2 linked regions of the Rhinolophus ferrumequinum genome follow. The protein of the gene in region 2 interacts with the protein of the main gene of each other region in a pairwise test. Links are inferred from orthologs where the notes say so. Each region holds a gene or a part of one and is shown on either strand. Other genes may lie near its edges. The genes, in order: CBLL1 and CDH1.

Region 1 (16,347 bases), on a different chromosome or scaffold from region 2:
CGGTGAAGCTTTGGCTTTGTTCCCTTGTTTGGAGATGAGCTTTATAGGAATTCGTCTTCGAACATCAAGACCACCCAATGATCCAGAACTATTGGTACCTTGTAACTCATTGTCTGTGTGAGGGAGAAAAAGTTGTCATTTCTTTTAGTTTTTCTTTTTTGAAGATTATTCTGCTGCAAGTATTAAAGCAACACACCCAACATTATCAAGGGTTGAGTATCTGGGTTCTGATTTTGAATGCTATGTTATATAAGTGCTAATTTTCTCTACTTTGGGATAAACCCTTAAAGCAATGTGGGTTTTTTTGGGGAGGTTTTATTTTATTTTATTTTATTGGGGGACAGTGTGTTTCTCCAGGGCCCATCAGCTCCAAGTAGTTGTCCTTCAATCTAGTTGTGGAGGGCGCAGCTCAGCTCCAAGTCCAGTCACCGTTTTCAATCTTTAGTTGCAGGGGGCGCAGCCCACCATCCCATGTGGGAATTGAACCGGCAACCTTGCTGTTGAGAGCTCGTGCTCTAACCAACTGAGCCATCAGGCCGCCCCTCCGGCAGCTCATTGTCTTCAATCTAGTTGTAGAGGGAGCAGCTCACTGGCCCATGTGGAAATCGAACCGGCAACCCTGTTGTTCAGAGCTCGCGCTCTAACCAACTGAGCCATCCGACCGCCCCCAAAGCAATGCTTTTTGAAACATGAAACCTTTTAAAAAGTTGACGAAAGTTATAGAGTTCTCCCTAAAAAAGTAGACAATAAAATTTTTCATATAATTCCAGAGGGGTTTATAGAAAATAAAACTCATGAACCCAAGATAAGAACTTCTGTCTTGAAGTACTATATTTTGCCATATATAATGTGCACTTTTTTTTTGCCCAAATTTGTGAGGGAAAAATAAGGATGTGCATTATACATGGGTAGTACTAATTCCATATCTACATAAATATTTTTAATTATTTTATTTATGCTTATGAGTTAAGTGTAACTATAGAAATCGATAACAATATCCGTATGCAAAATAATACCCTGGAATATGACCGTTGGTTTTGTTGAACTTACGATGAACTTGAAACGACGAAGAGTTCTTGGCCTTCTATGATGCGTAAATATCGTAAATCTGTTACTGGCACATAAAATTGCTTGTACCTTGTATCTGTTCTTGTGTTTTGTAATTATTTGTTACATAAAATTTCTTGTAACATAATGCTAAAAAATAAATGCTAAAATTCCTTTATAATACAAAAAACAAGTACCTAAATGTAAACAAATAAAAATTTGAATTAAAAAATTAAAACAGAAAATTTTTTTCCCTGAAAGTTTGGGTCAAAAACATGGGTGCGCATTACACACAGGAGCACATTATACATGGCAAAATACAGTAACTAAGAGATTTTTAAAAGAAGAAAAAGAGGGACGAGAAGAAAAAGGAAACCATCCCTATCTCCATCAAGCACGCAAAGTAGGCACTCAATACATTTAGTAAACTGATTCTACATCAGGACAATCAATAAAACTAAAAACACAAAACTAACACTGACAGTGGTAAAACTAAGTAAATGCATTGAAATTAAAGTTAGTTTTAAGGAAGGAGATTATTCCCTTAAGTGTAAAATAGTTTTTCTAAAAAACATTTTAGGAACATAGTAAAAATTATCACATCATTTAGTAGTACAAACACGCAATAACATTTCTAGATGTACATGTGACTGCTAGTTTTAGTCAGCACTGTAACGGAAAATTATAATTTAGGAAGATGCAAAGTTTCTGTACTTCAACTAGGTATAAACAATTTACACTTTCTAAGTCCCTGCTTGTTATTGACTATGAAATAAATTAACTGATAGCCCATGAGTAATAAATAGTATTATTTCAAAGAACTTACTCCATCTGAAGTTTAAAAGTCACCTTTTTTCAAGTCTATGACAAAATATTACAATATAGAAAATTTTCACCTTTACCTACCTACTAAAGACAGAAAGGGAAATGCCATAAAGGAGGAAATGCAAATAAAATAATTTTTTCAAATAGTAATGTTTTAAACATCACAAGTGATTGAACAGGCTGTGTAACTGCTACTGGGGGAGATAGTCCAACCAAGATTGAGAGCCAAGCTGTCTACATTAAAGTCAGTAAAGCCAAGTCTGGAAGTAGTAACCTAGTACTAATGACCTCCAGAGCGACCAGGATTACAAACACACATTAAATTCACATGATGATTTGCACTCTTTCTGAACAATATACAGAACATCATTCAAAATGGGTCCTGAATAATTAAATACCTTTCAGTCTACTTTCTACTACTGCTTTTACAATAGCTAATACTCAAGACAAAATTCGTGGAAAAGGGATGACATGCACAGCTAAAATCAATTAAGACAAACCCAACTTGATAATTTTCAAGACTTCACTAACTGTACTAACAAGTTGAGGATGTATTTCATCTGCTTTCACTTTAGTTGCTTACGTAAGTACCTACAAGCAATGTAATAGCCAAAAGACAAGTATGATAGAATGAATTTTTGGTTTTTGCTTAAAGTTATTTCTGATTTTCCAATGGACTAAAGAAAAAAAAATCAAGTTCTTGTAGACAGTTAACAGTTCAATGCTGCACTTCAGATATTAAAGAGACTCTTAATGGAGTTCCCTTGGCGAATGATCAGAATACCAACATGTCATCACTCCAAACCCTTTTCACACCACCCTGAGCACTTGAAGTCACTATCACCACTGTTGTTTGCTTAACCCAACACAACTTTCAAGAGCCTGCTGCCCCTTACACACCTTGCCGCCTGTCTTACAGACTGCAAATCCATCAACAAAGTACAACATGTAATAATGACATCAATTCTGGGTCTGTCTTGGGTTTTCTGGTTTAAGAATCAGAAATTACAGCAATTTCCTTTTGAAAACGCCAACTAAAACCACAAAAGTCCTTAGATATTACAAAGAAAGAGAACGAAGGATATAACTGGCCTTTTAAGGTGAATCCACTTTAAAAAGGAATAACACTATTATATAATTTTTAAAAATATTTAGAATTTTATCTTGAATTAAAGGAACCAAAAAATAATTTAGAAAATTTAGATTACAGTGACAGCTAAGTGCTAATTCTTAGAATGACCAAAAAGTAAATCAAGTGTTAACTGGCAGTTTCTTGGAGTGATTTTGCTGGCAAAATTCTATTCGAATACCACAGGCTAACCTTCCATATGTTTCACTTTTTCAACATGATCAGAAAAATCAGTCATTTTTGCATAATATTCGAGGGTTTTGTCAGTTTCCTCAAGGACTTCTCTTAATCCTTTGACATTAAAATCATTCCTGTGAGATGCCTATCCTGTCATGTCTTCAATTAACTGGCTAACTGGCATTTCCTCACTTGCCAATGATTCTGTGATTCAAATAATTATTTAAATAATTATTCAAATTCACTTTTATAAATTACATGAAAAGCTGAATCTTTTGTAAAGCTTGTAATCACAATTTATATACAGCATTTGATAGTTTCCTGATATGAAACATCAAGGATGTAACAAAATTAACTAACAGAAAAGAAACTAGTGTTAAGCCGCAGAGATATCTGAGTAGGAGATAATTTTTAAATGGTCAGGTCATGAGTGAATATTTTCATGTTAGGATAACTTTTACATTTTTAACTTACTTTTTTTAACTTAAGAGAACTAGGATACCAAATACTCAGGTATACACCCACCCATATTACAATTTCCTAAGAACATTCTCTAAACTGTGAGTGGGGCCTTACTCCCATTTCCAGTTAATAGGCTCAAAAAGAAATATTTCGCTAATGTTGGATGTCTGCTACTCTAACATCAATATCCTAGTTTCAAGTCTATAAAATTTCCAAACATAGAGTTCCTTAGAGCCTGGTTCTAGACCCTCTTCTGTATTCCCTCTCCTTAAGTGATCTTGTCCATCCTCTTGCCTTAAAATATCAGGTATGTGATGCTAAGTCCCAAATATGTATTTTTCAGCCCACCTCTTTCTCTGATCTCCACATGACATCTCTCCTTGCATATCTCAATATACATTTCATACTTAGCAGTCCAAAATCTTGTTCCCAAATGCCCACCAATCACCTTTTACCCCTTTAAAAAATGTTTTTCTCCCAAGTTTTCCCCAACTCAGTAATAGGCACTGCCTAGCTGATGAAACCAGTAACTTAGGCATCTCTCTTTCTCTTACATTTCTCCAAACTAATCTATCAGTGTGGGTTTAAGTTCCACCACCAAAATATTTATTGACTCTGTCCACTCCGGTTCTTCACTAAGCCAAGCCTGCCTTCTGGTTTACTGCAATTACCTCCTAAATTGTCTATTTTCTATTATTCTTGCCACCCTCTCTTACACCCTTCTCCATAGAACCTATTATATTTTTAAGATACTATGCTCCTCTTCTACTTCTGTTCAATGGCTTCATATTGCACATAAAATAAATTTGAATCTTTAACATGGCCTTCAAAGTCTTGCACGACCTGATTCCTGCCCTCCTTTCCAATCTCGTATTAGAGCTCTTTCCTTCTTGCTAATAACTAAGCTGCAGCCGACTAATTTCCCACTTCATTCTTTGTACTTGCTGAATATGCTTTCCTCCTGATCTATTCCATGGCTGGATTCTTCTCATCCATCAGATCTCAAGTTGTTAATGCTACCTTTAGAGAAAGACCTTCCCTACCACCCTCTCTGAAGCGTCGTATTAGTCTTTACCACAGCATGTTTGTTTTCAAAGAACTTATCATAACTTGTAAACATTTGGGCTTTAAAAAAAATTTATTGTGTCTTCCCCAATAGATCGTAACCTCCATGACAGTAACTCTGCCTTGTTTACCATTCCATCTCCAGGCCTGCAAGTTTTGGAGATAGAGAAAAATACAGACAGACAGATAGACAGGTATTTGATGATTGAGGACATCCCAACAAGTACTTACTACAGGAAAACGCCTTTTTTCCCTATTTGCGATGTGGTTAATGTAACTATACGAAGCACTTTCTAATCCCAAGTGCACTCATTCAATATCCAAAAACCCAGCAAGCTAAACCAAAAAAACACGTAACAAAGAGTGGAGCCATCCTTACTTTGAGAAAGAGATGTGAATGTCTTGATTTTAAGTTCTCCTTTGTAAATGTCCCCAAATGATGAGTAAGGGCCATAGCCGAAGCGCGGGGTTTCGATAGAAAAGCTGCTCCGAGCATCATTCCGAAAACCAACCCGACTCCCTTCTCCCACCTCTAGTCCATAAAGGACGGGAGAGACAATGACCACAGACGCTGACCACCGCAGCACCCGCCCAAAGCTGCCTGAGACAGCAGAACGTCTCCAACCCACTCTCGCAAATCCACTCCCAGCGTAATAAGGCTTCCCCGTCTCCGAAACGGGAATCTCCCCCTAGTTCCCGTAATGTAGGGCATAGCCCTCAGAATGAGAAAGAGAAAGAGAGAGAGAGAGAGCGAGATCTCCGCACAAGGCCCGCGCCGCCCGCCGTCCCGGCTCGGGGCTCAGCAGAACCAGATAAGCGGCCGTTGCCGGCACCGCGGCTGGAGGTACCACACCGGAGAGTAGGCCGGGAAGTAGCAGGCCCTTGCCGGGCAGGGGGAGGGGTCTGTAAGATTTCTTTCTCACCGCTACACCCCAGTAATGTAGGGCGAGCGTAACCCCTCTATGTCCGCTAGGAGACCAGTCCCAGGCCGGCCAAGGGGGCATGGAACCGGGACCCCCACTGCCTCCGCCTCCTTACCAGTGTGATCCATGATTCGGCTCGCAGAGCACAGTGGGAACGGAAGTCAACTGCGCCGGAGTCGCAGGGAGCGCGTGCGCGCTACCTTCCGGAGCCCGGGAGGCGGAAGTGCCATTAGGTTGCCCCGGCTTTGGCTTCCGAGGGCTTCCTTTCCTGGCTCACACCACCCAACTCCGGTAAGCGAATTAGGCATAGTTCGGGCTGAGGAAGAAAGAGCGAGTAGGCTAAGGCCTTCGATGTCGGGGTTGCTACGGCCTCTCCTCACATGCTTCGAGAGAAAGTAGCCTTTGACTGGAAAGGAGACGGACGGGAACCGGGGAGGGGGAGAGCGGTAGTAGCTGGAGGGATAAGCTCCCGGCAGGTAGGCGGATGCCCGCCCCCGCTGAGCGTTGACTTCTGGGACTTGAAGTGCACCGGAGCCCTGGAGAGGCCAGGCCCAGTGCGCAGGCTCGGCCGTTGGGCGGCCCCACCCCGGCAGGCGGAGTAACGGTTTGGAATCCCCCAGGTCCCAGAGCGGCTGTCCCCTCCCCGGGTCTAGGAAAAGTGTAAACACGCGCGCTCCCCTAGGCGTCCTCCGGCGGAGCTAGCCCAGGGGATGGGTGAGCTGTGTGAAGCTCCCAGCTAGAGAGAAGGGCGCTGTGCTTATTGTCTAAAGGTCGCTTTGCCGCGACGAGCTACATAGACCCACGCACAACCGACTTGGTATTTGTCCCCGTTCCCGCCTCTTAAGTTTCTAACAGTTGCGACACATTTAGAATGCTTGAGTAGCACTCCTTTTCTAGCCTAAAAGCTTCTGCCTCTAGGAACAGCCAGAACATATGTCCGAAGGACTGGGTGCAGGGTCAGGTGGAGAGCGAGTGCAGCGCAGCCGCCTGTTTCTAGGGGACGCCGGTCAATAAAGTGCACCGTGGAGCTGAAGGAGGGGAGGTGGAGAGAGCGTTAGGGCTGGCCGGAAGGGAGAGGTTAAAAAGGAAAGGCCTCAAAGGAGGAAGAGAGAGTTACCACAGTAAGCAGTACCTAGTTCCAGTTCTTGGTCCCAGGGGTTTGTGGCTGCTGCTGCTTTCATCTTCTTAGGCCAAAACAACGGAAAGTGGCAAAGAGTGATTCCTGAGGACCTTCAGTGCGGTCTCCACCTCTCGGGCTTGGCTCATTTGTGTCCACTCCCTTCTCTTTTACGTTTGATACCCTCTGATGGGTAGAAAGGAGCACAATTAGTGGAAAACACAAGCTGGGGAGTCAAGGGATTTGGGTTCTATTCTTGTCGTCCCTTGGTGACGACATCATTACCTTGGGTTATTCACGCTTTCAGTGCCAGAGTTCCTTGATTAATAAGAGATTACATTGACCTCTTACAAGAAATGTTTTCATGGTACTGAATTCCAAATAAAGTATGTGTAGCAATGTGCTGTATCTGTATAGATATACAGTAACAACTTTGAATAATATGTTCCCTGTTATTTGGTGAGTGTTTTACTTGAATCCTTTAAAAGACACTCCCACTACTATATCTGCAACTTCATGAACAAGTTTTTAAGGACCTTCACAAGGAAGGATAATTGTGAATCAAGATTACCCCTGCTTTTGTTAAAATGTGGTTTTCAAGATGCTTTCAGTTGCTGGCCTTATTTTTTGTTTTGGAGGCTGGGAGAAGCTTAATCTTCCTCCCATACTTCCTATTTACAGTGTTGATACGATCGAGCATTTTTCACCAATTTGGGGTTTAAAAAAAGGTCGTTTTCACCTAGAAAGTACTCTTTTTATTTTTTCTATCCTCATATTTAGCCTATTGGCCATACTTTAGATTGATGCAAATCCAGGTTTAAAATAATATTAGTGTCTACTGATGCTAATATTTAAAGAATTAGAAGAAAAAAGAACTTTCAAACTATTTTATATAATCTAAATCAGAAGTTTTGTCAGCATTGTTATGAAAATTTACTAAGGGAAAACTCACCTGTTTAGACTTCCTGTTGATAAAATGTTAAACATTTGGTGAATTATTTCATTTAACATCTGTTGTTTTCATGCATTACTTTATGCTCTATATTCATTTCTCCCTTAACTGTAGTTGCTTCACTTTACCAGTGCAGCAGTGTAAATCTCTTAACTAAACTGGTAAGTGAAACTATACATAGATTGAGATTTTATTACTGTGCTTGGTAGCTATTGTTGGTGACTTGTGTGCTGTAATGTCACAATTTCTTTATTGAAAGTCCACATTCACATTTATTTTATAGCATGGCACTGTCCTAAGGTTCATAAAAATGGAACATCGTGATAGACGATCTGGAGCACTGAGGTGCGCATTTTCATCCTAGTGACAGACCATCTGCGAGCCTATGAATTACAAGCCAGTTCTTCAAGATGCTTTGATAGTCCCCCATTTACATAGCACTGTTTATGATACAGGAAAAATAGGATGGGTATCAGACAGCTTGTTTTCCAAGAGCTTGTTTGAGGCTCCTCAATACCAGGTGAGGACAAGAACCGTCATCTCCGTAATGCTCTTTCAGTTCTGTCACACTGTAGTGCCTAAGACAGCAGAAGGTAAGAACTGTATAAATAATGGTCCCTACCTTAGGGACCGCACAGGCTAGCAGTTATAGAAATAACAAAAAACACGTAGAATTAAATCCTACGTGGTTTGCGGGAATGCAGTACTGCCTACAACGCAGAGGCAAAGATGAGTGGTGGGAGTGAGGGAGAGGGGCTGTGTGGGGGGGCGTGAGCTGGGCCTGAGGGAGCAGAGCCGTGAGGGGCACAGCAAACAGGGTGTCAGAATTGTCACGGCTTCTATAGAAGACAGTCATCGGTTCCAGTTGCACTATTGATCCATGTTTGCAAGTCGTGAAACATAAAATAAGGTATGATTGTAGAGAACCTTGAAAAGTAAGATTTCAGAGTAATAGTTAAGAAAGAGCATATAAACAAAACCTAGCACAGTATAGTCAGATGAACAACATAATTCAGCAAGATATGGTCAGAAACAATGAGCAGATCTTAAATGTGGGCGGGGGGGTGGGGGGGACAGGCAGAAGGTGAATTAGTACCAATGCATGTAGGAGAAGAGCAGCTGACCAAGCAGCCAGGGACCCGATGATGGCCAAGCCCACAGTGTGGATAGATGTTAAGAAGAGAAGACCTGATCAGGATGGTGTCATATACACTGACAGGTTGCATAAGCAGAAATGCGTGGGAAAGACAGGGGAATAGGGTAGGGAGATATATGCACTTGGGAGCCAACGACGGTTCCCAACCCAGCACTGCCACCTACCAGCTGTGACACTGGAGGCAGATGCCTCATCGTTGTGGCTGACTTCCTTCATCTGTAAAATGGGGACGGTGATGGTGCCTACCTTGGGGTTTGTTGTGAGAATTGAATGTTACCTGTCTAAAGCGCTTATCACCCTCTGGCACACAATGAGTCCTCATTAAATGGTACTTATTGTTACCAGGATAGTTACTATAGTCACTGCTTCTTGACGTGATAGTGGAGATTAAATGAGATAACTAGTGCGCTGGCACATTATTAAATGAATGTTAAATGTTAGCTACAATTTCATTATAATTGCCTATGAAAATGGATTGGAAGTAAGCTTTGAAGAGGGACAATAAGGCCTTTTGGACCTGTTAGCCTGCTGATGCACACACAAAGCAAGCCTGGTGTTTACCAAGACACTTTTTTTTTTTAGCTGTTTAATAGATACATTTATTATTGTCTTTATATGAAAAATCTTCATGGACAGTTCTTTGGTTTATTAACTCTCAGCAGCCCGTTCCTGAGCTCTGAGGAAGCTTGCCTTCTGCACTAAATCTTCTGAGCAAGAGATATTTAGGGGCAGTTCCACCTCTTCTTTTTAACTTCCTTCTTAGGCTTCTTATGGACTGGACTTTCTCATATAGCAGCATGAGCTTTCTTATACTCCTCCATCATGTCTGGAGTCACATCGTTCTTTATGTATTGAGAGAATTGCTTCTTGTAAGCGTCTTCATCTTCTTCCATTAGGTGACACATATAATCTGCAACGTTCTAACCCATGAGGTGCTTCCCATGTACTTCTGCACTGAATTCCCTGCTTTCTGAATCATAACCAGGGAATCGTTTGATACTGTGAGGGACAGACAAGCCTCTGTCCACAGCTCCCTTCAGGGCCCCCCAAATTCTATTTCCAGTCTATTTCCAGTCTGGCAAGCCCTGCATCCAAATAGCAGGTGAAGGCACCAGGTTGACCAGCAGTGCTTTCCACATTGTATTCATCTCCAGTCACCTCCTGACTGATGGACAAGACCTTCACAGAGCTTGTCCATGCCAGACCCATTGAGAAGCCTGCAGGCCAGCAGCAGGCCAGTACAGTACGCAGCAGCATAATTTGTCAGGCCAACCTTCACGCCGTACTTTGGGAGTTCATGAGCGTAAGCTGTACAAACTATCATATCTCCTTCTATACGGGTGTAAGCAGTCTGACAAATGATACCTCTGTTGGTTACACGAACTTTCATTCTGTATTTGGGTGTGTGGTACTTATTTTTATCCAGGATTACCGAGCGTTTCCAGGCATAGTAATCAGTTTTACCCGCTCGTCATCTCTTGAAGTAAGCCTTATTTTTGACAACTTGACCAAATCCCATCCTGCGGAACAGAGACCCGCGTCCATAGCTCACCACAGCCTGCAGGCCCAGCTCGGCACCGGGGGAGAAAAGCTAGCCAAGACTCTTTGACTTCTGCATATTGGAGTCAGCAGAGTGATCTGCTCTCCAACTGGATTAGCAGGCTTAACTCCAGCCCCGCCAGGCCCCGCTTCCTCCTCTGCCTACCAGCTCCTGACACTGGTCCCCAGTGTGTTCCCACAGCCAAGCCTTATCAAGTACAGCAGCTGGCTTTCCAAACACCAGCATCAAAAACGGGGCCAGATGATCTCACTTACATGTGGAACAAGAACTGAATGAATGAGCAAAGTAAACAGAAACAGTCTCAGAGATACAGAGGCAAAACTGACGGTTGCTGGATGGGAGGAGGTGGGGGTGATGGAGAAGGGGAAGGGATTAGACAGCATAAATTGGTAACTACAATATTGCTGTGGGGTATAAATCAATAATGTAAAGATTTTGTAGGGTGGCAGATGGGCACTTATTAGGAAGACCACTTCATGGATGGTGTAGATGCCTGATCACTGCACTGTACACCTGAAACTAAAGCTCAATAATACTGTATGTCAACTATAATTTCATATATATATATATATATATATATAGTCACGGGATGTGGAGTACAGCACAGGGAATGGAGCCAATGGAATTATAATAGATACATACGATGTCAGAAGGGTAGTAGATTGGGGGAGGGTGTTATCACTTTGTGAGGGGTGAAATGTCTAACTGTTGCATTGTTTTTAAACCTGAAACTAATACAAAAAAAAGAAAAAGAAAGAAAAATTAATGTAAAAGAATCTTAAAAACGAAAGTGGACCAGAGACAGCCGGGGAATGAGAAGGCAGTAGAGGCTGAGGACTGCAGCACCGTGCGTTGCTGAGCAAGGCATTTCTCCACTCCCCCCTTTGCAGCCCGGAGGCAGCGTCACACCCCCGTGGGCAGGAGCCTTTGGTCTGGAGAGGCCCCGCAGCCTGCCTTCTTCCTGAGAAGGAAAGTTTTGCAGTGGGATCCTCTGAGCTGGAGAGGTCTGCTCTTCCCTGTAGCCTTTCTGCTAAGAGATAATTGCCTTATTTTTTTTCTCTCTACATTTCTATTTAGTTCACTCCTGAACGAATGTTTCGGGTATTAAAATGCTCTATAGCTATGCCATGTTTGTAAGCAAGCAGTCTGCGACCTGTTTTCTAGAGGTGAGAAGGCTGTTGTCCACATGCTCGCTGACCCTGGCCCCAGCGGCCACTCCATGCCAGTTGGAGGACGGCTTTCCAGCTCTCCTGGTATACTTGGTTTGTAAATAGGCCCTGTTAGTGTTTAAATGTCTCTCACTATCAGAAATATATTTTATGTCGTAGCCCAGTACATAAACACAAACACACACATACACATACATACAAGTGTCATGAAACTGTACTTACCCTCCGCATATATAATGTTCTCTGCTGTTTTTCTTCTGTACTGTCCCTTAAAAAAAAAGCTGGTTATGACTCACTCAGATGTCATAAAGTACACGAATGTCTTGGAATTCAAGTTTGAAAAGCACTGCTTTATATCTCTCATGTTGTTTTGAAGAGCTTATGCTGTTCTAGAAATGTCTGAGAGGAAGGATAAATCTTCGCATTGGGAGGACTTAATCCTGTGTGACTGCAAAGGGATGATAAGGAAGAAAATAGATACCTAGTACGACAGAATACCAGGAAACTCAAGAACAAGTCTTTTTGGAGTTTCTTTTCTGCAATTGGTAATAGCTACCACCTGTGAACTGGGTCTCCCAATGAACAAAAACCATTTCTTGACAGTAGATTTAATACCCTCCCATACCTCAGTTGAGGAAAATACTACGCATAGATTTGCAATACTTAACTTCCACCTGAAAACATACCTACCATGTTTCCCTGAAAATAAGACTGGGTCTTATACTGTATTTCCCCAAAATAAAACCAGGTGTTATATTAATTTTTGCTCCAAAAGACGCATTAGGGCTTCTTTTCAGGGGATGTCTTATTTTTACATGTCTTATTTTTACATATTTTACAATCTACATTTATTCAAATACAGTCATGTCATCTTCTGGAACATCGTCATAATGTACTAAATGTGTCTATAAATGTGTCTGTCTGGCTGACGATCTTAACAGGTTTATTTTTGGGGTTGGTCTTAATTTTCGGGGAAACATGGTATCCATCAAGACACCTGCTCACAGGAGGTCTGATAATTAAGTTTGGGAACAACTTGTTGCAACGATGTTGCTAACCTTTTTTGATATCAGAGATTGTTCGTTATGAATTTGTATCAACTGGACAAACAGTTAACCAAGTTTACTACTTGGAAGTGCTGAAAAGGCTGTGTGAAAAAGACAACGTGAACTTTTCACTAACAGTTCACGGCTCTTGCATCACGACAATGTATCAGCTCACACAGCACTGTCTATGAGGGAGTTTTTAGCCAGTAAACAAATAACTGTATTGGAACACCCTCCCTACTCACCTGGTCTGGCCCCCAATGACTTCTTTCTTTACCCAAAGATAAAGGAAATATTGAAAGGAAGACATTTTGATGACATTCAGGACATCAAGGGTAATATGATGACAGATCTGATGGCCATTCCAGAAAAAGAGTTCCGAAATTGCTTTGAAGGGTGGACTAGGCACTGGCGTCAGTGCGTAGCTTCCCAAGGGGAGTACTTCAAAGATGACCGTAGTGATATTCAGCAAGGAGGTATGCAGCACTTTTTCTACCGTGTTTCCCTGAAAATAAGACCTAGCCGGACAATCTGCTCTAATGCGTCTTTTGGAGCAAAAATTAATATAAGACCCAGTCTTATATATATATAGTATAATATATATATTTACTGTTACTATTTATAGTAAAATAAGACCGGGTCTTATGTTAATTTTTGCTCCAAAAGACGCATTAGAGCTGATTGTCTGGCTAGGTCTTATTTTCAGGGAAACAGGGTAGGATGAGTTTGTGAACTTAATGGTCAGACCTCAGATGTCATTCTCTCCATCAAGCCTTCTCTGACTCATTCTTGCAACAGGTAATATATGTAACAGATAAAGAGCATGAGGTTTGGAAGCAGGCAGAACTGGGTTCAAATGTCAACTCTTCCTGTGTCATAATTTGTCAATTAAGCTTAATTTCTGTGTTGGTACATGGGGATAATGATAACTTTCCTTACAGAGTTGCCCTGATCATCAAAGGAGACAACATCTGTGAAGACTCTTCATTGCCAAATAACAGGCTTTTCAATGACTGGTCATTTCCTTCATTCTTCTTGGTAATTACTGCCCCTTCAGAACATCCAGGCACTGTGTTTCTTTTAAGACATCGCTCTCTACTTCATATTGTAGTAACATGCTTATTTTACAAGACAGGCTCCTTGAGGACAGGGTCCATTGGCCATCCAGGTTTGTATAATACACAGTATTTAGCAGAGGATGGAAGTATTTAGCAGAAGGTGCTCACAAAATACTTGTTGACTTACTGAAGAACATCAGCAGAGATAATATGGCCCTGTCAAAACTTTAAAAAAAAAGAAACATTTAAAACTTCTGCACACAAATGAATATGGCAAACGAATGGATAAAACTTACAATAAAAAAAACCTAATTATGATAGGAGGGCATTGACCACTGGGATTGTAAAGAATTAGTGATAGCTTATAACACCAACATTCAGAGTTCACTCGATAAAAATGAACAAAGAACATCTAATGCCAGAAGACAACAGCCCACGTCTTCAAACAAGAAGGACCTCAAACAGCATAGCGTGTCTGAACTTCTCTTGAGTGAGAAAAAAAACCCTTTGTGTGTGTTTGTTTCCACATACGCACATATACGACAATGAAACCCAGCCAATAAGGAGAGAGATTAAAATTTAAAACTAAGAGTGAATAACTCTGGTAACTTATTCATTAGTAGCAGACACTCTTCTAGTCATTTTCCACGTTTCCCCAATAGTCATTTTTATTTTTTTCTTTTCCTGCACATTTATTAAACATCTGAGGATACAAATGAATTGAATGTATCGTATGAGAGTTTAATGGAATTGGACACTAACAGTCAAGACCAAAAAAAATGAATCACAGTAGATTACTTAATTCCTATTGTCTCGGAAAAGATAGCATAGAAATTTCCCTGAGATGCAAACATTTTCCTGGTACCAAGTTGTAGGAAAAGCTATTCTTGAGTAAAGGACATTAGAAAACATAATGGCCAATTAACTTCAAATGGATTTTCTTTTTTAGAAAATTTTAAAATGTTACTAATGAACTTGAAAAAAGCCTAAGGCAAAGCAGTCTCCCTAGTGGATGGAGCTGAGCTAAAGGAAGCGAGGCATTGCAGAAGGTAGAAAATTGAGCAGTACCTTCCAAATTATGAGAAGTGATTTCCAATTTAGAATTCTATACCAGCATCCTGGATGTCTCAGTGTAGATTAGAGATATTTTCAGACATACAAGTCCCCAGCATTCATCTCCAGTCTCCCTTTCTCAGGAATTCCTCATTCTTGTAGTCATTTTAAATGTCTCAGTGAACAAAGCAAATAATCCACCTTGCCTGTGTGAAACTTACATTCTAGTGAAATACAACTGGTTTAAATATGTAACTTGACTAATACTGAGCAACTAGGGAAATTACGGTTACAGAATGGAACCATTCAGGTTATAAACCTGAACAAAATAAATATAGTGTAACCAAAAACTTGTGGAGAGGTGACAGCATGTGAGCACTAATTTTTCATGAGTCATCTACCTTTATTTACTGTCTAAAATTGAAAAATAGTTTAAAACATTAAGAATAACAACTCTAACTTCTGAGAGGTTTTCATAATTCTTTCCTTAACCTAGAAAGTGCTCTTAGAAAGTAATATCCTTCATGTTAAAGAAAAAAATCTTCTACCTCATGTTCTTTTGTTGTATCAAATTCAAGTAAAATTAATTAAAAGTAGAATATTGCGATTAAAATAGCATCTATCATAGAGCAGTGAGGGTCTAACTAGAAACCACGTTGATTATTTTCGGGGAGGGAATTTAATGCAGGAAATTGGTCGTATAGGTAATGGAGGAGCTAAGATGCCAGATATGACAATGAGGTAACCCAGTGCTTAGAGTAAGAGCCAGAAACACTGAGCCCTTAGCCTGAAGGGACAAAGGGAGAAAACACTGTTACCTGAAACACGGGGCCAGAAGAAACACAACTTCTGTGAAGAATCTACCCCTGGATTCTCCCCTTCTCTTGCCCTCCCGTCTCCCATTCATTGACCCCAGCCAGATAGCCGCTGACCTGGGAGCCAGGGAAATGCAGCCTATCGGGATTATCCCCTTGCAGTACTCCTAGAGCAGAGGCCGGTCGAGGAATGGGCACGAAGGCCTTGTATTGAGTGTAAGTACCGCGTTACTGTCGTAAAAGTACTGCTGCTTACCTGCCCACGTAGCTGTAGAGAGAAAGCTGGACATGCTGTGTCTAAATTCTTCTGACAGGACTAATAAATTAATATGAGACAGATTAACAGGAGAAAATGGCCAAATTTATTACAGATGTGCATGAGGGGATTTCATAAGAGTATGAGATCTGAGGACAGAGGGAGTAGGTAAGGCTTACATGCCATCTTGAGCTATGGAGGTGGACAGGGTTTTGTGGTTTGGGTCGTCAGTGGAGAGGAAGGCAGTTCACACGGAGATGGAAAAGCAGATGTTTGATAAATAAATGTTAGCTGGCCGTCTGTACCCATGGGAAACAGAGGACTAGGATCAAGCGGCCTTGCTGGGTTCCTCCCCGTCTATCACGTGCTACTTCCTATGAAGCGTCCTCTCAGTTCTTTTAGGCAGTTGGGGGAAAGTCTACGGTGGTTCCTGTGCTTTTTTTAAAATTCACCAGCTTAAAGTAATACCCCAAAAGGTGTGGTTTGGGGTGGCAAACTCTGCTCCCCTCACTATTCACTTGGTGTTAATAATCGTT
Region 2 (16,066 bases):
AAATGTGAGGTTCTACTACACCATCAAACCCATTTAATAGATGGGGAAATTAAGGCACAGCATCAGTACTTGCACATAGTAAGTGGTAGAGCTGGGATTTGAGCCCAAGCAGCCTGCCTCCTGAATCTGTATTTTTGAATACTACCCAGTTCTGCCTTTCAGATAGTTTTGCAGTGCAACAACAGGTCTCATCAGGAATGGGATGGGGAAACAGAGGCTCACAAGTGGGGAAAATTTATGGTAAATTTGACCCCAGCCTTTATCCATAGTCAGGCTATTTTGGACTCTTGGCTTTTTACATTTTATTTTTATATATTTTTAGATTTTTAGGTCACACCATGACTAAGTTCTGTCTAAGAGGAACCAGTCTCCCACCCCCACCCCCACCCCAACAGGCACAGGCCAAAAACTGGCATTCAGCAGAAGGGAAGTGGCTTCAAGCTGGACTGGAGCTGGCTGGCTGGCTCTACAAAGGTGGCTGGAGCTTGCTGGCTGGCTCTACAAGCCGCAGGCATGAGTCAGACCATGCCTGCCACCATTTGAGTACTTTGGTCAGAGAGGACACCCCCACCCCTACCCGAGGTGAGTAGCCTCCTCCTCATACTGGGGGATCATGCTGTTGCTTGAATGTTTCTTCTTATGTGCCCAGTATCTGTTCGCTCTTCTCATCATTTTTGTTTAGGAGACCAAACTCCCCTACCTTTAAGTCCATGTGGTCCTGGGATTCTGATTTCTCTTGCCTCACGCGAGGGCTGGTCACATGGTCCGGTCTTAGCCAATCAGAACCACCCAGCTATCTCTGGCCACAGGATTGCTTCAGAGGTGTGCACATGAGCCAACTCAGGGAATCAAAGTGAAACCTGAGACTTACTGTACCTATTGGAAAAGTATAGTGCTTTGTGGCTGGGATCACTGAACTGGTAGGTTGGGAGCCTGTCTCTGCCTTGATAGGAGACTCTAAAAAGAAAGTCAACATAGAGGAAAGCGAAGACAGAACAAGACAGACCCCTGATGACATATTTGACCACGTGGAACCATGCATACCTAAAGTCCATCTACCATGAACTTTTTAGTACATGAGCCTACAGATTCCCTTTTTTCTGCTTAGGTACTTGTATTTCTGGCATTTACAACCCAAGTGACCAATACAAATGCCAAGACACCACATAGAAGGGAAAGAACACTGGATAACAAGTCTTAAGGCTTGAGTTTGAGTCAAGGTTTCACTACTTAATAGATCCTGTAGCCTCCCTGTATTTCAGTCTCTTCAGCTGTGAAATGGGAATGGTATCCCTGCCTGTAATACAGTGTTGTGCTGGGAACTGAAATGAGCGTGGTAGGAAAGTGCTGTGTAATCTGTGAAGTGCTTTGCAAACTCAAAAGCTCCAAACAAGTGGGCAGCCTCTGTTGCACATGGTAGGAGGAGAAGGTGCTCTGGAAGTGAGCGGTTCCGTTCCTGCCATATCTGTCCAGCTGCATGACATCTGACAGGTGTTTTAACCTCCCTGAACCTTAGTTCTTGTCTTTGGAAAAGTAGATTCCTTGGTGTCTGTCCCCTGGGGGATTTGCAGACTGGATCAAGTGTCTCCCTGATCTTAATTAAAATCCTGCAGTGGCTCCCCATGCTCCCCATTCTCTAAGGACACAGTCCAAGCTGCTGATCATGATTAACACAGTCCTCCACTCCCCCAGCACGTTCCTTACCTGCCTGTTGGGTCCAATCTCCTGCCTCTCCTTCCAGCGAGACTGAACGACCCGAAATGCTAAGCCCTCCTCCCTCTGCCAGGAACACTCTGGCTACTCATCTGAGGTGTCACTTTCCCCAGGAAGCCTTCCCTGAGCCCCGTGTGCCTGCCCATCACATGGCTTGTTAATCTCGAATCATCACCAGGGCTGGTCTCCAACCAGGGTCACTGATATGGCTATTCTAGTTGCTAAAATACTGTATTGAAAAATTTCCATATCAGTTGGTAATCAGCTGTTTCCCTGAGCCCCTCAAGTGCTCCCCAAACCTATAGCCTCTCACATGAACCCCAAACCTCCCCACCACCCAGCAAACAAAAGGGTGAAGCACAGTAGAGGACCTGGGGATCCTGCTCTGGTCGTAATGGCTGGTGTTCATTTTGATTGGCCCCGTGCCCAGGCTCTACCAGGTAAATATTGTTAATAGCCTCCTTGCTTATTTCTCTGGATTGTAAATACCTGGTTCCCTTGCCTGTTTATTCCATCAGACCAAAAGGTCCTTGAGGGCAGGGAGGCTCCTCCCTCACTAGCAAAGCACTTGGCACACACTAGGTGCCCATAGAGTGTTTACCGAATGAATGGATGGATGAATGAGTGAGTGAATGAAAAGTTGGAGAGTCACTCTGGAAAATGATAGGCTCCCCCCATCCTCAGTCTGGACTTGAGTTTTCTTCAAGGCTTGTGATGGAAACCTTGCTCTTTGCCCTGGTTTTATTGCTCTGTAGGTTTCCACCCTTGCAGGATGTACCTTTCACCTGCCCTTCTGGCTCCAGCCTGGCCAGCTCCACCCTCCCCTCCTACAAAACTTGGACTTTCACTGAGCACTGCTGAACCTGGGAAGATCAAGACGCACTCCTCTCACGAACCCACAGATGGGTGAGCACACTATACACACACACACTCGTGCACAGGAGAGGACAGTTAACCCCGCCCACTGACTGGTAAGGGGACTAGCTCATCCCAGTGTTCCCAGGACTTTCCCGCTTTTAGCACTGAAAATCCTACACTCCAGGAACCCTCTCTGCCCCTGGCAGGTGGGGATGATTGGTCACCCTAGCACTGGGTCGGTTGGGTCATTCTTCATGGACATGGGTGGTCTTCGGATGGATGTCTGGCTTGCCCGTGCTGAGTGCAGGGCCTGGCACATGGTGGGTTTGCCACAGCTCGACCACTTCCCAGCCATGGAAAATCATGTTACCTCTCGGTTTCCTCAAGAGGATGGGATAATGTCTTCCTCAGAGGTACATATGCTCATAAAAGGCAAAGTGCCACCTGAGTGTTATATAAATGAGAGCCATTGTTACTGTTGTTGTTTTTGTTGTGTAATTATATATGTGCATGGAAGAAAAGTTTCTAGATTTTGCCATTTGTGAAACAAAAACAGTGGGAAGCATAAGGCTACAAAAGTCAGCCCTCTCCTAAGACTGTTCTTAGCAAGACCTCCCTCCTCACTTAAAGAAGAAAATAGCTTTATTCTGATAAAATTCATAAACTGCACTATTTACCCATTTAAAGCACTCAATTCAGTATTTTTTAGTATATGCATAAGGTTGTGCACGCCTCACCACAATCTAAGTTTAGGACATATTCATCGCTCTCTAAAAGAAGTCCCATACACGTTAGCAGTCATTCCCAATTTCCTTCCTACTCCCCAATCCTGACCAGCCCAAGGCAACCACTAATCTACTTTCTGTCTTTATAGATTTGCCTATTCTGGAAATTTCATGAAGTGGACTCATATAATATGTGGTCTTTTGAGTCTGGCTTCTTTCACTTAGCACAATGTTTTCAAGGGTCATCCATGCTGTAGCAGGTATCAGAACTTCATTCCTTTGCTTTGCTAACCCCCACCCCACCTCAATCTATTTTAGATATTTCCAGAAAGGGTTCAATGCTCACCATAGTTACAACAAGTTTGCACTTGTGGCGGAAGAGACCAAACTTTTTTTTTTTAATAATTTTTTATTTTTGCTATATCTAGTTCTTTTATTCCTTGTATCTTCAATTTTCTTTTGCCCTTATTGATTTTTCTTTATCTTTTAAAGATACAATATTTGAAATAAAAGGAGTATACGTATATCACATATATTAGTTATAATGAATAATTGTGAACTCACCACTCACCCCAAATTTCCTTCTCCAGAGAAATACTGTTGGAGAATGAGGATATAAGGTCCTTATCAAGCTTCTCAGCTTCCTTCTCAAGCAATTCCCAATTTTTACTAGTTATAATTATTCATATTTCTGTTTTCTGTAACTATAAGTCTTTTGTGCTTTGTCTGGAGGTTGAGTCTAAAAACTGAAAAGCAATAAACAGCATCACAAATCCGTAAATATTACTCACATGAGAACTCTTGGCCCCTAAGAGAAGGAAATCTGAACCTGGCCAGTGACACGGTTCCCCTCTCAAGAAGCTCAAAATCAAGAGTTTTTAGAGGCAGAAGAAAACGAAATGATCCTTCCAGACCAAGTGAGTCATTTTACAGACCGGAAACTGAGACTTAGGGAAGGAAAGATATTTTGCTTCAAGTCACGAGATCAAGCCCCTACCCTGTGTTCTAGACACCTCCTGGAATTTGATAAATACATTGTGTTAGCTCCAAATTTCCTTTTTAAAGGGAAATTAAACTGTGAAGCCTTCACATTAAGGATTCAAGGGCATCAACTAAGAAAATAAAACAATATCATGATTATAAAAAGTAAAAGCCCTTTGTTTCCAAGTATCTTTGACTTGGGAGAGGCTGAATTTGGTAGGGAGTGATTTCATTGGCTGTTGAGCCAGGAGAAGGTTGGCCTTGTCAAACCTGGAGGTAAGCTTTATCTCCCCTTCCCCTGTGGACAGTGTCCTTGGCTCTGAGAGGAAGGGTGGGACCGTCACTGCTCACAGGTGGGAAACAGGAAGCGACAGATCTGTGGGGCCCGACAGCTATTCTGCAGCACCTTATCTGTCTTTATTGAGTCACCAGGTACAAAGGTGTCTGTGCAAAGAGAAGGCACTCAGTCAGCCGTGGAGCTCCATGGCAGCAGGCTCCGCCCCTCTCAGTGGGCTTAGCAGAGGGTGAGTTAGGCCAGAGGGAGCCTGCTGCCCATGGAGTCCACTCAGGGAAAGCCCTAACCCCTGAGCATCATGGAATGTGAAAATAATAACAGTTAATATTTATTTAGCACTTCGTGTCTGTCGCATTTACTTAGGTTATTTCACTTAATTCTGGAAATCATGCAACAATGTAGGTGCTATTATTATCCCCATTTGTACAGATGAGGCAATTGAGGTCCAAAGAGGGTTTAAGTGACTTGTTCAAAAGCTTAGAACTAGCAAGTGGAGGAGCAGGATTAAGACCCAGGCAGTGAGGCACCACTGTCCATGCTGGGAACTGTTTAACTATACTGGCCTTGGACCTGAGCACCGGCCTCCACACTACCTCTGCCATGACCTGGCTGTTCATCGATCTGAGCCTCAGTCCCCTCCTCTGGAAAATGGGCAAAAGTACCTTCTGCTCTGTCGGCTGGAGGACCAAATGGTCCAGCCCAGGGCCTGCCCCCCTGGTTCCAGCTCTCATCAGCACTCCCCACCGCACCCCTTGCTATACTGGAAGCTCCAGCCTGGCTGAACAATAGCATCTCAGCCTGTGCTCCTGTCACCTTCTCTTGGCTGCCTTGGAGTCTGCAATTTCAGGTCAACTGGACAGACCATTTCTTGCTAAGTGAAGCAGTTTGCCTCTCAGTTCAAATTGGCATCTGGAAATAAAAGCCTGCTCTGACCTTAGCAGTATAACATGGAGATTAAGAGTCTTTGGAGGCCAGTGGCCCTGGGTTCAAATTCCAATTCTGTCACTTTTACTGTGTTACCCTGGACAAATCTCTTTACCTCTCTGAGCCCCTGCTTCCAAATCTGTAAAATGGTTGTAGTAATAGCACTCAAAGGGCTGTATGAGGACTCTTGAGAAGCCATATAGAGTATGGTAAGCTCCAATAAATGGTAGCTATCATTTTTATTACACAGTATATTGCAATTACTGGTATTTAGCACAATGCCTGTTACATAGTCTGCAATTGATAATATTTAATAAATAAATGGGTGAATGTTTACCTGTCTGCATCTCTCACTACCTATGAGCTGCTTAAGGGCAGGGACCATATTTTATTTCGGTGTCCCCAGTGTTAAGCAGGGTGCCTGGCCCATGGAGGTGCTTAATAAATGTTTGTTGTTTGCCCAGTGAGCTAATGGATCTGGACAGCCATCATCTGCGGTACTAAAACCACAAGGTGAAAGGCTGGTGGAGAACTTGATAATGGAGGGATCAGTTGACACCAACTGAAACTTAGTTATTCTAATAGAGTCAACCAGACAATTCCTTGCTTCCTGATATGATGCTTTGGAAAGTAATGAGCTATCAAGTCACGAAAAGACGTGGCGGAAACTTAAATGCATACTACTAAGTGAAAAGTCTACATACCTTATGATTCCAACGCTATGGCATTCTGGAAAAGGCAAAAGTATGGCCACAGTAAAAAGATCAGAGGTTTACGTGAGTCGGGGGGGCGGGAGGGATGAACAGGCAGGTGGAGCAGAGAGGATTTTTAGGGTAGTGAAGAGACTCTGTTGGCACTGTAATGGTGGATACATGTCATACGTTTGTCCAAATCTATAGAATGTACAACATCAAGAATGAATCGTAATGTAAACTATGCACTTTGGGTGATTATGATGTGTCAATATAGGTTCATCAATTCTAACAAATGTACCTCTCTGAAGGGGGGAGGCTATGTATGTGTGGGGCAAGGGGTACATAGGAAATCTCTGTACCTTCCTCTCCAATTTTCTGTGAACCTAGCACAGCTCTTCAAAAAATAGGATTAATTTTTTAAAAATGCAGGGGTGAAACGATGAAACAAGATTTGGTACAATTACAAAGTTTACAAATTATAAAAATATGTAAATTACAAAAAAATAACTGTTGGAGCTAGATGATAGATACATGGTGTTTCATTACACTACACATGATATACACTTGACTGTTTTCTTTACTTAGTGTTTGAAATAAAACAGTTTTTTTGCAGACGGGAGCGGCTGAGCCATAAAGGGCGGCACCCCTATCAGTTGCCATCATTTTGTCAGAGGGCAGAAGCAGAATATCCAGTTCCCTCCCCTGCCTGTTGGCAGGCAGCCCAGCCCAGCAGAGGTGTGAGGAGCCCCCAGGAACAGGTAGAATGGATTCTCCTCTCCCAACACTGCAGTGAGCCTGATCTGGCTACAACCCCTAACAACTCCAATTTCCCTAGGATTCCTCCCAGCAGGGCTGGGGGGTTGGGTTCCTCTCAGCAGAGCCTGGGGCAGGGGTGCCCCACCCAGTCAGGGTACTATTATTACCGCCTTTTGCCAGGAGATGAAAGGGACCAGGGAATTAATCATTTAATCCCTGGCTGACCAGTTGCCGGGACATCCAGGAAGTGAACGTCCATCAGAGACACAGCCTGCAATAAAGAAACCTGGAGTTTGTCATCCCAAGGGTGGATGCCCGGTTAGCACCAGTGGTGGGCTCTGTCATCTACCTGGAGGGGCAACTGGCAAGGACTCTGGTGAACATTTCTTTCTCCTGTTGATGCCTGAAATTCTACCATTAACATTAGACGGGCCCTCAAAGAGATCTCAACTCGAAGGTTTTGATTTTTCTTAACTCCAGTTGAGACGCTAATGAAGGCATTGGACCTCAGCACCTGCACTGACAAGATTGCATATAATCTCAGGGGTTCCACGACCCCCCCACCCCCACCCTCAGTCCATCCACCGACACCAGGTTAAGAACCCTGGGCGAAGTTTACTAGCTCCAGAGTTTTCATTCTTTGAAAGAAGCACACCTCAGAACCCTCTTTAAAATGCAGATGACCCTGGGAGGGTTGAAATGACTAACCAGTCAGTGTGAAAGTTTTCTCAGCAGAGGCCAGAGGTAGCCTAAGAGACTTTGATGGTGGGGGGTGGGGAATGGAGAGCCTGGGGGTGGGGAGGCTTCAGGAGGGCTCACAATTTTGCTGAGAACTGGTAAAGGAAAGGAATGTACTGAGCCAAGAGTGCTAACAGCTAACTTTAGGGCACTTATAAGAACCTTGTGAATTAAATGCTATCAACATCCCCGTTTTATGGATGAGGAAACAGACTTGAAGAGGTCAAGGGACATGCTCCCCAGCTAGTGGCAGAACAGGAATTTGAATCCTCCATCAGCCTGAGACCCAACGCCATCAGCCGCAGAGCTCAACATCAGCAGCACAGGCTCATCTTCGCCTGCTCATTTGATCCTCAGAATTGGCATTTCCTTTTTTTGATGGAAGAGGAAACTGAGGCCCACAGTCACACAATGCCGCACCTCCACAGGGCACCTCTGTGTGTCCCCTCCTCACCTGGACAGCTGAAAGAGGGCAGCCCTTCACGGCCAAATCCCTGGAGCTTAGAGAAGGACTTGCCGAGAAGTCTGAAGAGAACGTCTCTCCCAACCTGTCCTCACTGCCCCTAATTGTTTTCTAAAATCCTTTTTATTGAATTATCAGAGTGTAATGGAAGAGTCGATGAGAGTCGCTGCGGAGTTACAAGGCTAGGGCTTGCTGGACGGAGGAAAGCAAAGCCCTAAAGGCTCCCTGGGATGAGCGATGGTATAAAATATGTATTTTTACATAACTGGGAGAAAAAAAATAAACGGACAAGGCTGCCCCATGGGGGAAACGCCTCTTTCTGTATTTCCATTATCTTGTTTAATGCACAGTCCAGCAGGAGCCTCAGTGGGAAAGGAAATACTGGAGCCTTTTCCCTTTGAGCCTCCTGGTGGGTTAAGAGGCAGAGAAAGACAAGATGCAGAAATCTAAATGGTCTGGGCGTGTGCTCAGAAACCCATTAAAACTGAAGGGACAGGTTAGGGGGGAGGGGCAGAGCTGACCCGAAATAGTGTCTTGGTTTGAGACACCGCCTCTCCTCTGGGGTTGAGAAAGTAGCTTCAGTGGACTCAGATTTACCTTTAGCTCTGGATGGAATATTCTAAACATGACCTTTCCCCATGAGGAAGGGGAAAGGAGGTAGTCGTTTCCAAAGAACGACCTCCACATTAAACATCTATTGAGCAGTTAGTTGCTACTAGATGCCAAGTACTCCGTTTAGTGACTTTCTTGCATCAGCTCCTCTCAACACATTTGTACTGATGATAACATGGACTTGCCCAAGGTCACAGCTAGTGAGCAGCTGACTCCACACACTGTTTTGCAGTTCCGACCATGCTTGCGGAGTGAAGGGAAAGATGGTATCCTTGTCAGGGTAGGCAAAACACATAGATGCGGCTGGCCCCTGGCAGTCAGACAGGGATGATGTCCGACCTAACATTTGCATACCTTTTTTTTTTTGTTTTGGATCCTAAAATTATTTTACTGGGGATAGAATTCTCTAGAAAAGGAAGTGGTGGCTATGGTGTGGTAAGAGCCCCAGTCTGGGGATCAGGAGATCTTGGGTTCTAGTCTTGGCTTTGACGTTGACTTGCTATGGGACATTGATAGTTATTTGCAAATAATACGTTTGAATGATCTCTAAAGGGTCTCTGGCAGGTCACCATTTACAGGACAGATTGAAAACTACAGCTGCAGCTTGAAGACTATCCAGGGCCACATGAGGTGAAGCTAATAGAAGAAATGGCCCTGGAATCAGGAGGTTGGGTTCCTGCCCTCCAGCATTTCCTACTGGCCTCAAATTCTTTATGCCTCAGTTGTCTGTCTATCAAATGGGTTTAATAACAAAGCTCTTGGGTTGTTTGGAGGCGAGATTAAATGAGATGGCCAATGTCAAATGCTTAGCACAGAGCGTGGTACAGTAACTTGCAATGCCCAGCATCTATTGTTACTATCATCATTCACATCTGTACAGAGCTTTTATGGTGAGGAAATATTGGTCTTTTAATTGTATGTCAACGTCACAACAATTTAGGGAGGCATTTGTGATTAATCTCATTTGGAAGATGGAGAAACAGGCTTAGAAAGGTGGGTGCTGCCCAATGAACTGATTTGCAGACTCACAAACCGGTGGAGAGCTGCAGTTAAAAAGAACTAGATAAAGGATAAAGCCCAGGTGCTAGTGTGCACCCACCGCGAGGCCGGGACGCGAACCTGGTGGTAATCGAAATCCTGGAGCCCCTGCACGCAACCCTGATTCTAACAACCGCTGCGCCTGCGGGTTGCCGGGTCGCGAGGCAGCGGGGCGGGATCGGGGGCGGGCCGTTCATTCCCTGCCTGCAGAGGAAGCTGGGACCGAGCCGCATCGTTCATTGGCTGCAGCCGGCAGGTGCATCCTCAGCCAATCAGCGGGGCCGGGGGCGGGGCCTTCGAGGCTCACCTGGCGGCTGAGGCGCTGCCCCCCTCACTGGCGTCCAGAGCCGCAAAGCACCTGTGTGTTCGCGGAACTTCTGCCAGACCAGCCCCGTCCAGCTCCGCCGGACCCGACCCGACCCGCGCTCGGCCCGCCATGGGCCCTCCGTGTCGCTGCCTGTCCGCGCTCCTGCTGCTGCTACTGCTGCAGGTACGTCGTGTCCCTCTGGCTTTGCGGGGGACGCCTTCCGGCCCCACCTTCCGCGACCCGGCCCCTAAGTTCCTTCCTCTCTTGTCCTCCCTTCCTCTCTCCTGTCGTCCGCGCTCCCTTTTCTTCCAAGAAAGTTTGGGTCCAAAGAGCCTGAGCGGCCTGGAAGCTGCGTGGCGCTCTGGACTCAGCGGAGATGGGAGTGGGAGCGGGAGCGGGTGAGGAACTAGCGCGGTTTGCTCAGTGCCCCGAGGGGACCTGAGGTGGGGGCGCGCCTCGCTGCAGGCTCTAGGGACTCCGGGTTGGCCGCGGTATGGGCAGTCGGTGGCGCAGGGTGGCGGTCGGGATGGGGAAAAGGGGAGCACGGGTGCAAGTCCAGGGAGAGCCAGAAGTAGTGGGGACGATCCCTGAAGTAAGGAAAGGGGAATAGAAATAAAGGTAACTACCAGGTAAAGAAAAGGTAGTAAATAGGTATGGGGGCGCCCTCGGGATAAGAAAGTGGGGTCAAAAGGTGTTGGAGCGCCTTCGGTATGAGGAACTAGATTTAGGAGTGGGAACGTTCCCGGTGTAAGGAAAGGGGAATTGGGAAGAATAAAGATAGCTCCAGTGAAACGGAAAAGGAGACGGGAAGGAAATGGGGTGCTAGGTCGAAAGGAGGTGACCCAGCAGGCTCCTCTCCCCGGCGTTCCTGGGGGCTTGGCTGCCGCAGGTCTCAGATTGAGTTTGGCGTGGCTGCCTGCCGACGGGGTGGAGGGGAGTGGAGGTGGGTCCCTCCCACAATCTCGACGCCGGGAGCTAGGGAGGAGCGGTGTTGTCGGTTTCGGTGTGGGCTGGGAGGGACCCCCCAGGTCACCCCGGTTCCATACCTTTCCCCTACCCCAGGTCTCATCATGGTTCTGCCAGGAGCCAGAGCCCTGCCGTCCTGGCTTTGGCGCTGAAAGTTACACGTTCACGGTGCCCCGGCGGCACTTGGAGAGAGGCCGACTCTTGGGCAGAGGTGAGGGCGCGCCGCCGGGGTCCCGGAGCCGGGTGGTGGGAGGGAGTGGGAAGGATCCGAGAAATTGTGCTCCCATTCCCCTGGGCTGGATTGGGCAAGCCCCTTCTTCCGTGGTTCAAATGACACCTTTAGAATTTACACACATGTAGGAATCTAAACTTTATCATGATTGAGCACTGTGGTTGAAGGGGCTATCCTGGTGCGGTTAATTATGTTGGGGGGGGGAGGATGCTTATTAGAGCCTTCAGTGTGTTTCCTAGTGTCCTGACCACGTTAGAGGTTGTCGTTTCAGACTGCACAAACCTAATATGTGGGAAGGGCAGGAGGGAAGTGGTAATTCTTATTTAACAGATGAGCAAAGGAAGGCTCAGAGGGTGGAGTCCACTTGCTCAGGGTCAGTTTCGTGGGAATTTGCACTAGCATCTCTCCCAGGCCCCATTCTGCAACAACTCTGGGATGACTGAGGAGCCCTCTCAGTTATCAGGCTCTGGCTTTTGCTCATAGAGATGACAACATTTTGATACAGGTACTATTTCCCAAAGGAATAATAGTTTTTAAAAAAAACCTGGTAGCTCTGACTCAGGGAATGAAAACGTAACACAAATGTACTTCTGGGCCTTATCGCTGTGATAATCAGAATTCTAGAGTTTGCTTTGTTTTACTTCACTGTGGCCCAGGAGTGAGGGCAAGGGCAGGTTGGTTTCTTTTCTGGTTTCACTGATTCCCAGGTGCTTATTTCCTACCAAACCACTTTCTCCTCCCTTTTGATTTTAGTTGATTGAGCGAGTTATCATAACAATAAAGGAAACACTTGCGAAACAAACAAATAAAAAAATCACCCACTATTTCCCTGAGGGAATTCACTGTGTATTCTTCCAGTCTTTGGCCACGTGAAAAATCTGTTCCAATCACACTATTGTCTGAAAAATGTTTTCCAACTCTGGAAGTTCTAACAGTGGGCGGCTTTTTTTTTTTTTTTTTTAAAAACAGAAACTGAACCTTGATTGATTAAACGTTTGCTTTTCTGAGGCCTGTGTTGTGTGGAGCTTTCTGTTGGGTCAGAAAGGAAGTGTTGTCTGCCTGATTTTGCAGTGGGTCCACCGTTCTTTGGCCTCTCTCTTGATGTTCTGCCCGGCCCTGTGCTGGGCACTTGGGAATGAACTGACATACAGGGACATTCCAGTCCTGCCCTCGGTATTGCATGTTCTGGCAGGTTGCTGAGAATGTTCTAGGACTCACTTCAAGGGCATAGTGGGACATGGGCAGTTAGGTATTTGGGATGTTTTGAATGGGTATCAGTGGGCTGTGAAGATTGGCTTCTGGGAGGATAAAAAGTTGACCCACCTTTGAAGAGCAGGTCAGGGGTTAGAAATGGGAGTGTCCCCACACAAGTGCTGGTCACTCTTGTTTTCCTGCGCCAAGGCATTTGGTAGCACCAAGGGAGAGTTAGTCCGGTTTTTATCCCCCACACCCAAGCTTTTACATCTGACCAATAATCGTATTACCTATTAATAATATAATTATTACCATTATTCGCTTTTGAACTGGACGCTGGGGCAAGTGCGTCACATATTTTACCTTATTTAATCTTCCCAAGAACCTTATAAGGGTGGGCACCATTGTTATTTCTATTTTGCAGATGAGGAAACTGAAGCATAAAGCAATTTAGTAAGTTGCTCAGGGAACCACAGCTGGTCTTTCTCCTGCTTTCTCCCCTCCTCAGTAATCTCAAAAAAAAAAAAAAAAAAAAAAGAGGCTGCCTGGGGAATTGGTGTCCATTGTGAAATAGATGTCTTCCTCCCTGTATGTCTGGAAGAGCAGAGGTGTCGACAGGGCAGGACCCCAAGGAGGAGGTGGTGGTGATGGAGATGGGTCAGGCCAGGTGGGAGGTGGGGGGGGGCCTGCAACTGGTGGTCTTGGTTGGAGACGCGGTCTCCAGAAACTGCTTGTGTGACCGGTTCCCGTTCCCTTTATGTCCACAGACCCACACCCACTCAGTGATTTTCTGACATTTCACTTTTGGAGGGCTATTTGGACTACAGGGTCGCCTTCAACCAATCCAGTGTGGAATTGCCACAGGACGGAAGTATCCGTCTGGTAAAATCACACAGGCAACCTCTGGGGGAAGCGACCTTACTCTCTTTGGACAGTCCAGAAAGATGGAGGTATGCCACATTAGTACCGGGTTTAAACATTGGCTCTGTGGAGAATTTGCTGCATGGGAGTTTGAAAACAAGGAACCTGTCACTTTTTGTCCACCAGTGACCATAGAGTGTCACAAATAGGATTTGGCTGAATTCAGGGACCTTGGGGTAGTTTGCTGGGGTCATTCCTGTGCTCCGTGAGATTCCTGTATTTACCGCGTTGGTTTTTTTCCAGGTTCTAGAACAGAGAATGTTTTAAAAACAAAAACATCTTCAGTTTCTGATTATTTTCCTTTTTCTCAGTACAAACTGGTTTGAGCAACCCAGGCTATTAGACAGTTTCGCATCTCATATATTGCACTCAATTTTAAGTTGACTGTGGAGGGTGGTGGGAAAAAAGGGCAGCAGGCTTTGAAACCCATGGTTTCCTTGCTTTACTGCCTCTGCCACCTGGCCTTGGGCAAACCGAGCTTATATTTTGGGTCTGAGCTCTGGCTGCTTGATGGATTGATCTAGCTCACAGGAACCCACCTGTGAGGATTAAATACACCCATTTCCCCTTCTTTCTAAATGATGTGCTGAAAGGTGGTGGAAACAAGTATTTGCCCCCTAATTAAACTGGGCTTTAAAAAACAAAACAAACACGGAAAACAGCTTTGGGATGACCTTACATCATCAGATCCCCACTCCCCCACTGCTCAAACTCTGAACCACTGCTTCCCCGATTACTCACTTCTGTGACAAGGGTTATGCCGAGCTCACTGGGGAAGGAGACTACTGGGTCATCCTGACCCGGCCTTTGTGTCCCACAAGGAGTCGAGCCCTGCAAGGCCATTTAAGGAAGGCTGGCTGCTGCTCCTGCCCTACCTCTCTGCCAGGTGGTGATGGAAATCCTTGTTTGCTCTCCGGGGCTTTTTATTGAGCAAGGCTTTTCTTCCGAAATGCTCACCTTGGTGTCTGTTACACATTCCCTTCCAAGCGTAGCCCCAGATAAGCCAGACGCTGAAGCAATCAGCTTTCACATCTCCCAGAAGCTGCCAAAGCCCTAAAGTCCCCGAGAGGCACCTGTCACAATCCAGACTTTCTGGGTTTCCACTCTGCCTCAACTCCCATCTCCTCTCAGGGCTTTAGGCTTTCAAGGAGAGGAATGAAATCAATATGGCTGATCAGGATAGTTCTGTGAGTAAGCACCTGAAAGATCCAGGTTTGGATTTCAGCTACTAGCTGTGTGGCCTTGGGTAAATCACTTTACTGCTTATGAGCCTCAGTTTCCCCATGTGTAAAATGGGAGGCAGTAATACTTACAGGTTTGTTGTTAAATGTGCATATTCATTCATTCATTTAGTCAACATATGTGAGTGCCTACTGAGTGCCAGAACTGGGCTAGCCGCTGGGACTACAGTAATGAATAAAGCGGATGTAGGCTGAATGTTAAGGCAAGTGGGACAGATATAAAGAAATAAGATAGAGTCACTACATGGTGGCTCGAATTTCTTAAGGACAGAGTAAGCACTCAGATATCATTTTGAACACATTAATGAATGAATGAATAAATATTTACTATTCCTCATACCTTGGCTTATCTTTTTCCTACTCTGGCCTCAGGCCAGCCTTAGACGTTGACTATAAATGGGCAGGGAAGAGTTGGGTCTGTGGCTTTTGGAATGGGGCAATAAGTGTGTCCCAGGAACTCAGTGTACTGAGTGCTTCCCTCTGAAAGCTGCAGAGGGCAGAGAAAGGAGACCTCACATCCGAATCTGGAAATGGAAGAGCAGTTAGTCAGTTAGTGTTTTTCATCTTTGGTCAATTAAAAAGAAATTTGTGGTGCCCTTTCTGTTTTCCTCTCTGTTTCTAAGTTTCCCATTTATATTCTCAGCTTATGCTTGTTACTGTTGGGAGGGCTTTAGATTCCCTCTCTTTCTGCAGTTTTCCTCTTCCCTTCTTAATCTACCTCCAGTCCTCCACATTCCCCCAAGGCCCAGGTGGCATCTTCCCAATGTTTAGAAGGTTCTTGAGTCAGACTGCGTAGATTGAAATACAGGTAATGTCCCTTGCCAGCTGAAGAATACTGGCCAAGGACTTTCAAAACCTCAGTTTTGCCATCTGTAAAATGGGCAGAATAGTACCCAAGTCATAGGGTATGTCAAGTGCTCAATGAATATTAAACGTTAAAGCCCCTGGCATATTTGGAGCCTTCTTACCGTTTGGTTCAAAAGTTTACCTGTGCTTGCTCCCTCCCTGTGTTCTATCCCGCCCAGCAAACCAGCCAAACCAGTTTCCTCACTCTCTCTGCTTCTGTGTTAAAGCAAACACTACTGTGCAAACAGTGACTATACCATAGTACTCTTTGCTAGGAAAGGAAATTCTGGTATTTTCTTGCTTGCCACTGTGCAGTGTGTTTAGGGTGGGCCGACGTGGGTTTGCCTGTGGACCTGTTCATAAACATTGTTTAGAATTGTGGGAGGAATGGACAAGGAGCAACCAAAGGTGGGGAAGTCAGGATGACCTTAAATGTTTCAGCTTCTGTTTGGTTTTTAAAAGTATTTCATAATGCACATGCTTAAGGATACCGGTCTGATTTTCCATTGCCAAAATGCTCTGCCTCAACCCCTGGGACTGGGTCACTCACATTTCTAAGCA

What was found.
Region 1: the proteins of CDH1 (region 2) and CBLL1 interact in a two-hybrid assay, tested with the Homo sapiens proteins (2 studies listed by BioGRID, with this or other methods). The link is inferred for Rhinolophus ferrumequinum from reciprocal best matches to the Homo sapiens genes CDH1 and CBLL1.

What each region holds. Positions count from the first base shown.
Region 1 is NC_046303.1:50,831,691-50,848,037, reverse strand, and holds the start of CBLL1 (E3 ubiquitin-protein ligase Hakai), read right to left. Parts: upstream 7,033-16,347; 5' UTR 6,810-7,032; coding exon 6,761-6,809; intron 6,711-6,760; exon of another isoform or gene 5,757-6,710; coding exon of another isoform or gene 5,744-5,756; intron 114-5,743; coding exon 1-113. UniProt on the Homo sapiens protein: E3 ubiquitin-protein ligase that mediates ubiquitination of several tyrosine-phosphorylated Src substrates, including CDH1, CTTN and DOK1. Targets CDH1 for endocytosis and degradation.
Region 2 is NC_046298.1:18,068,238-18,084,303, forward strand, and holds the start of CDH1 (cadherin-1), read left to right. Parts: upstream 1-10,112; 5' UTR 10,113-10,234; coding exon 10,235-10,288; intron 10,289-11,167; coding exon 11,168-11,282; intron 11,283-16,066.